Caenorhabditis elegans: one gene and its partner. The protein of the gene in region 1 interacts with the protein of each later gene in a biochemical or structural test. Each region holds a gene or a part of one and is shown in the gene's direction. Other genes may lie near its edges. The genes, in order: slo-1 and bkip-1.

What was found.
Region 2: of the proteins of slo-1 (region 1) and bkip-1, one has a biochemical effect on the other in vitro, tested with the Caenorhabditis elegans proteins (one study listed by BioGRID).

Annotation. Positions count from the first base shown.
Region 1 is NC_003283.11:18,490,181-18,494,104, forward strand, and holds the start of slo-1 (BK channel), read left to right. Parts: upstream 1-2,125; coding exon 2,126-2,280; intron 2,281-2,950; coding exon 2,951-3,161; intron 3,162-3,366; coding exon of another isoform or gene 3,367-3,411; intron 3,412-3,924. UniProt on the Caenorhabditis elegans protein: Potassium channel activated by both membrane depolarization or increase in cytosolic Ca(2+) that mediates export of K(+). Its activation dampens the excitatory events that elevate the cytosolic Ca(2+) concentration and/or depolarize the cell membrane.
Region 2 is NC_003280.10:14,099,678-14,103,472, forward strand, and holds bkip-1 (BK channel Interacting Protein), read left to right. Parts: upstream 1-1,585; coding exon 1,586-1,716; intron 1,717-1,760; coding exon 1,761-1,822; intron 1,823-2,682; exon of another isoform or gene 2,683-2,718; coding exon of another isoform or gene 2,719-2,760; intron 2,761-2,970; coding exon 2,971-2,987; downstream 2,988-3,795.

The DNA of each region.
Region 1 (3,924 bases):
AGCTAGAGTGTCTGTTTTCTCTGCGTCCTCCTCACTCTGGTGTGCAAAACCGGTCGTAACTTGGTTAGTTTTTTGCTGAGACCTGTTAAAGATATGTTTTTGGAATCAGAAGAAAAATGTGATTCAGAAAACACAAAATTTAATAAAAATTTGAAAAAAATTTTTTTTTTCAATTTTTGAATTTTTTAAAATCAATTTTTTACGCAAAAAAAAATATTTTTTCCAGTTCCCCCAGCCTAAACATGTTAAATTGAATATTCCCAAAACAAAAAAAGTTCCTTCCCTCCCGTTTTCCGCCAATTTTCCAGGCAGCTTCTCCTCCTAAAATGAGGTCGTTGGAGACGCAGACACACATCTCTTACGCATTCCAAATGCTTCAGCTTCTTCTTCTGGCTCGCGGAGCACCACGAGCAGCAGCAGCAGCTTCTGCTATTGCCGGACGGACGGAGGGGTGTATTGATCCATCTCTCTGTGCAGGGAGGGAGGGGGAGCCAGAGAAAGGTTGAGGAGGGGGATGAGAAGAGAGGAGGGGGGAGAATGTGTAGTGTAACTCTTCTTTTCTCCCCCTTCCTCCATATATCTTGATATTTTTGCACACTCACACACACACACACGTTCTCCAGCTCCATACACTAACCCATTAAGTACTATGTGTTCAATTTTCTAATTCTCATAAATTTTCAACTTTTAATTTAGATTTTGATCTACTTTTTTTTGTTTGCAAAAATTGAATTTCCCACCAATATTTTTCTGAAAAAAATTGAATTTCCCCGCCAAAATTAATTCTAAGGAAATTTGAATTTCCCCGCCAAACTTTTTCTGAGAAAATTCAAATTTCCAGCCAAAATTAGTTCTAGAAAAATTTTAATTTACCGCCAAAATTTTTCAGAGAAAATTTGAATTTCCCGCCAAAAATTTTTTTCAGAAAGTTTAAATTTCCCACCAAAATGTTTCTCAAAAAATTTGAATTTTCCGCCAAAATTTTTCTAATTGTAAGAAAATTTGAATTTTGCGCCAATGTTTTTCTGTGGAAATTTGAACATTCCTCTAAAATGTTCCTCAGAAATTTTAATTTCCTGCCAAAATTAATTCTATTAAAATTTGAATTTCCTGCCAACATTAATTCTAGGAAAATTTGAATTTCCCGCCGAAATTTTTCTGAAAAAATGTGAAATTGAATTTCCTACCAATTTTCTCAGACATTAATTCCTTTTCCTAAATTATAAAATTATAAATTATAAATTATTAAAATTTGAATTTCCTGCCAACATTAATTCTCAGAACATTCAAATTTCCCGCCAAAATGTTGTTCTCAAAAAATTTGAAATTCCCGCCAAAATTTTTTGTTGAAAAGCAAAAAAAAAGTTGTTGTTCATTTATTTATTTTTTTCCAAAACTTGTGTTCCAGAACAGCAATTCATCAAGTTTTTTGCTGGTTTTCGATGAATAATGGCGGGGCTCCCTGTGGCATTTTACCATCGAAAAACCAGAATATAAAATATACCTATTATAAATCTGGAGTTTTGAGGAAATTGAGCTTTTGGTCGATGTACCATGTTCTTTTTTTTTTAGGCTTTTTGGCAAATAACTCATTTTTTAAAATTGAAGTTGAGCCATTTATGAAGTCAAATTCAGGCGGCTTTTTACTCCTAGATTGCGTTTAAAAGTCGAATATTGATAGAAATTTTCAAAATTTCCCGATTTTCTCGATGCACCATGTCCCCCAGAGCCGGACATTTTCAGTCAAAAATACGTGGGATACGTGAAATTTCCGGGGAGTTTGTCAGGAAAAATGACAGATATGTCTAGGCACGCTCTACGTCTCTACTATTTTCTCCAGCCTAACTGGTCCATTATGTTCATTTATTCGTCGGGAGGGAAGGCCTCGCTGCTCCGACCTAATTCTTTTCTCACTCTACACACTACTTTTTCCGCTTTTTGTCCCCACCACCACTAGTTTCTGGTGATGACATCATTTTTCTTCGTGAGAAAATGAGCATATTTTATGAGATTTTTAAACTTCTTTGGGCTTTTGGGAAAAGTTTTTTTTTTTTGAGACAAAAAAAAATTTCCAAAAAATTTTCAGACTCGCCGAAAGCCGTCGGGTGGACCCTTCGTCGACACGATGGGCGAGATTTACTCGCCTTCGCAGTCGAAGGGCTTCAATCAACCATATGGATACCCGATGAATTGTAACCTTAGTCGAGTATTCATGGAGATGACTGAAGAAGATCGAAAGTGCCTGGAGGAGCGCAAATATTGGTGTTTTTTACTGAGCAGGTAAGGAATATTGAGCTGAAACTAGTGAATTCGAATTTCTGAGGTTGCCAGCTTTCAATTGACCCCCATCTTGATATAATTTGATGTAGTTTTAAATTTCGGACGCGGCGCGGTCGCGTCGCGGTTGAAAACTAAAATTGTCAAATTTTGAAAAATTAGGCTTTATTAACTACAAAACTTCAAAAATTATTGAAAATTAATTCAAAATGAACTAATTCAAAGCAAGAGTAAACACTTTTGACAGTGGTGCGACCGCGACGCAACCTCGCCGCGTGACCCAAAATCTCAAAATGCTCCAAACCCAGTCAATATGGGGCTTATTTTGAAGCTAGCGACGTAACCAACATAAATAGTTCATTTTCAACAGGCCAAAATGGTCTGTTCTCAAAATTGAAACTTTGAAACCGCGACGCGACCGCTTTGCACCCAAAATCTCAAACGCCTCCAAAACTATCCAATATGGGGCGTATTTTGAAGCTCATGAAGCCACAAACTCAAAGTATCAAGTTAAAAGTGTCAGAGATAGACAATATTAAAAATTTGTTTTTAAAAAAATTCCGACCGCGACGCGACCGCTTTGCACCCAAAATCTCAAACGCCTCCAAAACTATCCAATATGGGGCGTATTTTAAAGCTCTCACTCTTCCAAATCCAACAAAAATATTTTCAGCATCACCACATTCTGCGCCTCAATGATATTGGTCGTAATATGGCGAGTGGTGACACACCTGTGCTGTCAACGCCGAGAAAAAGAGTTTGTGGAGCCCATACCTGCTCCGGAAGCCGTCCAAATAAATATGAACGGGTCGAAGCACGCGCCAAGTGAAACCGACCCGTTTTTGAAGCAACAAGAGGAAAAACACTTGGGATGGATGACAGAAGTGGGTTTTTGAACAAAAAAAATTTAAAAAAATACCTAAAAAATTCAAATTCCCGCCTAATTTTTGTTTATTTTAAGTTAAGTTTTGTCTATTTTCAATTTTCTACATTTTTTCAAATTTATGAAATTCAACAAAAAAAATTTCAAAAAAAAAACCGAAAAAAATATGCACGAAAAAAGTGGGCGGAGCTTGTTCTTATTTTTAGGATTCTCTAGCGATGCAGCTTTACAGAAGTATTCGGGACCGCAGGGCAAGTCCAAAAGTTTTCTGAAAAATTCACTGATTTTTATGGAAAATGTGGAAAATGTTCCCCCTTACCCCGCATTTTTTCTATTTTTCCGAAAACTTTCAGGAAATGTTTTTTTTTTTGCTTTTGTAGTTATCGCATTTTTTTTTATTATTTATTTTATTATTTGAAGTTTGCTGAATTAAAAAAAAAAAAAAAAAAATTTTTACAAAAATGAACCCCTGTGGGGACAATTTTGGGACATGGGACACTCCGGGACCATTTTCAACAGGAAATTCATACACTCCGTGAAATTTCCAAAATTTTGACACCCATATTGCCTATGCTCAGACAAATTTGAAATATGCAATGATTTCGGGCCGTTTCAGGCCGTTTGAGGCCGAATTAAGCCAAAATTACCAATTTCTCAAATATGATCGATATGGGGGTTGTTGAAACGCAAATTTTACGGAGAATTCGAATTTTTCAACTAGAAGTCTCGCAAAGTGACCCATGTCCCCGATTTGTCCCCACAGG
Region 2 (3,795 bases), on another chromosome or scaffold:
AGGCACGTCCGCCTGTATGTATATGCACCTACCATGGAAGCCCAAAGTAGGTTTACAAATAAAACCTTAATTTTCCGCAAAATCAGTAGGCAGGTATGTAGGCAAACAGTTATTTTTGTTTTTAATTTTCAAATTAAAAATAAAATGAAGTTGTTTGTTCTGAAATATTTTCTTAAAAAAAAACAATTACCGGAAAGTTGAAAATTTTATTTTAAAATTTAAAACTTAATAATTTTCAAACTAATAGTAAGTTTTCGTAGAATTTTTTTCATTTAATTTCTGACCCTTTCCTCTACAGTACCCCATTGTACAACCCCATTAACCCCTTAAAGCTCGTCCTTTTAATCCACCCCATGACAAGGCCAATTTTCTCATAAAGCCTCCAAAAATTCCACCCCGTGGCAGTTTAATTTGTGCTCTGCTGTGCTCAAAATGGCTATACAGCTCATAAAATTTTTTTTTCGGGGGGCCGCCCATATTATTTCCAAGAAAACTTTTTGAAATTTTATGGGCCATCGAAATTTCGAGAGGAAGTTCTGGTTTTTGCACTTTCGAGACAAACTGATCTCTGCGCCAATTCTTTAATCTGTTTTGAAAACAAAATTGAACTTTTCAATTTTTTTTTTATCCGAAAACTGAAAAACTTTAATTCGGATTTTATTTCAAAACTTTTTTTAAAAATTTTATTTCAAAGCTAACCTATCGACCTTGCCTGCCTTCCGTGCCTACTAACCTACCGACCTTGCCTGCCTCTCGTGGCTACTTACCTACCGACTTTACCTGCCATCCGTGCCTACTAACCTACCGACCTTGCCTGCCTCCCGTGCCTACTTACCTACCGACTTTACCTGTCTTCCATGCCTACTTACCTACCGACTTTACCTGCCATCCGTGCCTACTTACCTACCGACCTTGTCTGCCTTCCGTGCCTACTAACCTACCAACCCTGCCTGCCTTCCGTGCCTACTAACCTATCGACCTTGTCTGCCTTCCGTGCCTACTAACCTATCGACCTTGCCTGCCTCCCGTGCCTACTTAACCTATCGACATTTTTTGCGTCAAAAGGCAGTAGGTCGCCTTCAGGCTACCTTCTTTTAAAACATGAGAAGATGTTCCCTCTATTATTTTAAGCTTTTTCAAGCAGCTCCCTAGCCTGAAGCCTTCCAAAAAATCAATTGCTCAGGCATGTGACCGCTTTCAGCTAATCTCATTACCTTCTCGTGTGAAATTTCATTTTTCTTTATGTTTTAGCGTTTTTTGCTGGTTTTATTGGTTTTTATACTACTGATTTTTAAAATTGAAATTTTTCAGAAATTTCAAAAAAAAAATGTTTTAAAAAATTTTCTAAAAATTCTGAAAAATTTTCAAAATTGTTTTTACTGAAAATTTCAAAAAATTTCCCAACAAAAGTGACATCATCATTTCTCAAGCCCATTCATCTCTGAAAAACTTTCAGTTCTCAAATTTCACTTTGCCCTTTTTGTTTCCCATAATGTCTACATTTTTTCAACTTTTAAAACTCAAAGTTCAATTACCCTTTATTTCAAAAAATAATTTCAAGAATTTCCAGAATTATCAGCCAAAAATGTATATAACAACATCGCGAGTGAACAAAATGCAGCCTGGCGAAATTCTGACGTGGATTATGTTCTGTTTCACAGTAGCTTTGGCACTAGGCGTGGTCGCCTATTACAAGTTTTGCAAAAAAAGTATCTTGTAGTTTTTGCAGTTTTTGTAGTGTATAAATAAAAAAATTTCAGATCCTTATGCTCATCATCATTATCAAAGGCCTTTGATTACGAAAAATTAGACAATGATTTCAGTGAGTTTGGAATTTTTTGATAAATTGCCAAATTGTCAAGTTTCAATTGTCAATTGTCAAATGACCAATTTGTTATTTGACAGATGTCAAATTGTCAAATTGTCAAATTGCCAAGTGCCATCTTGTCAATTGTCAAATCTCCAAGTTGTCAATTGCCAATTCGGCAAATTGTCTAATTGTCGTTATGGAAAATTGTCAGATAGCCAAGTATAAAATTGTTAATTGTCAAATTGCCAATTGTCAATTAATGTCAACAATTGTCAATTGTCAATAATTGTCAATTTGCCCATTGTCAATTGTCAAAAAGTAAAATTGGCAAATTGTCAATTGACAAAATTTCGAATTTTCAAATTGTCAATGATTGTCAACCATTGTCTAATTGTAAATTGCCTATTGTCAAAAGGTCAAATTGGCTAGTTGTAAATTGAATAATTTTTGAATTGTCAAATTATCAAATTGTCAATTATTGTCAAATTGTCCATTGTCAATTGTCAAAAAGTAAAATTGGCAAGTTGTCAATGGAAACAATTTTCGAATTGTCAATTGTCAACTGAAAAATTTTCCAATTGTCAAATTGTCATTTATTTGACAGAAAAAAACAATTTTAAAAATTTGCAAATCGAAAAAAAAACTTTTTTCCCTCACAATATTTGATAGATCTAAAAAAAATTTCAATTTTCGAAACCGAACAAATTCTCAAATTTCGAAAATCTCCATCTCTAATGAGCCGGAGCACAAGCTCAGCGGCGTGGTGGTCCACCATGCTAGAGAGCACAAAGAAGCGAGAGACCGCAGACACATCCAGCAGAGCTTCTCCAGCTCTCCACACAAATCGATTATATTTTTGTGCTCACATTTTCTCATTCTGCTTATTGTTTTTTGTTGCTCGGAAATAAATGCCACAAATTGATGGATATTCTCATAGACCTGGAGATGTTGTGGGTTTTTATTTGATTTTTTTGTTGGAAATTTGAAAAAAAAAGGTTTTTGTCGATAATGGATAATTCTGTCAGAATTCAGAAAATATTATGAATTCTTAATTTTTTTGTTAGAAAACAAGTTGAAAAATTAAACAAAATTTCAAATTTAGCGCCAAAATTGTTTTAAAAAAGTCAAAAATTTAAACAAAAAAATTCAACTTTTTTCAGAAATTCCAAGCGGGTGAATGGTACACACTTTACGCATCACTTTTCATGACTATTCTCATAATTGCAGTCGTCTCATATTATACACTTATTGCTCCTGGTAAGCGGTTTTTTAATTAACAAAAATAATGTTTAAATTTAAAAAGCTCCTAAAACCAATAAATTAACAATTTTTCAGCTGAATCAGCATGGAAAGTATCAAAGCGAAAAAAGCAGCAGTGATTGGTATTTGCCTGGTTATTCATCGATCCTCATATTTTATTGATTGATTTTTTGTACATTTTTGGCTTTTCGAATGAAAATTTTAAAATTTGTGGTTTGATAAAAGAAAACGAACAATATTTGAATGAAAAATTATTTTTCTGAACTTTTTTGTCTAGAAATGCGGCAATTGTGACATATGCGACAATTGATGTTCGGCAAATTTTTTTGTCGACAAATGGGCAAATTGGCAATTTCGGCAAAACGGCAAATTTTCGGCTTGCCGATTTGACAGAAACTTTTGGCAAATTGCCGGAATTTTTCAAAGGGATTTTTTATAATACGGAAACACTTGAAACTGCGCCTTTTTGAAATTTTTCCCATTTTTGTAAATGATATTTTCATAGAAATTGCTTACTTTTCAAAATAGATGTAGGAAAATTTATAGGATGAGTACAATTTTGACGATCAAAATCGAGTTTTTGAAATTTCCAAAAAAAATTTGCAAACCTAAAATTTGCTGATAATTTTCAGCAATTGCCAATTTTCCGGCAAATTCGGCTAATTGGCGACTTGCCGGTTTGCCGGTTTGCCGATTTGCCGAAAAAAAAAGTTGTAAATTAATCG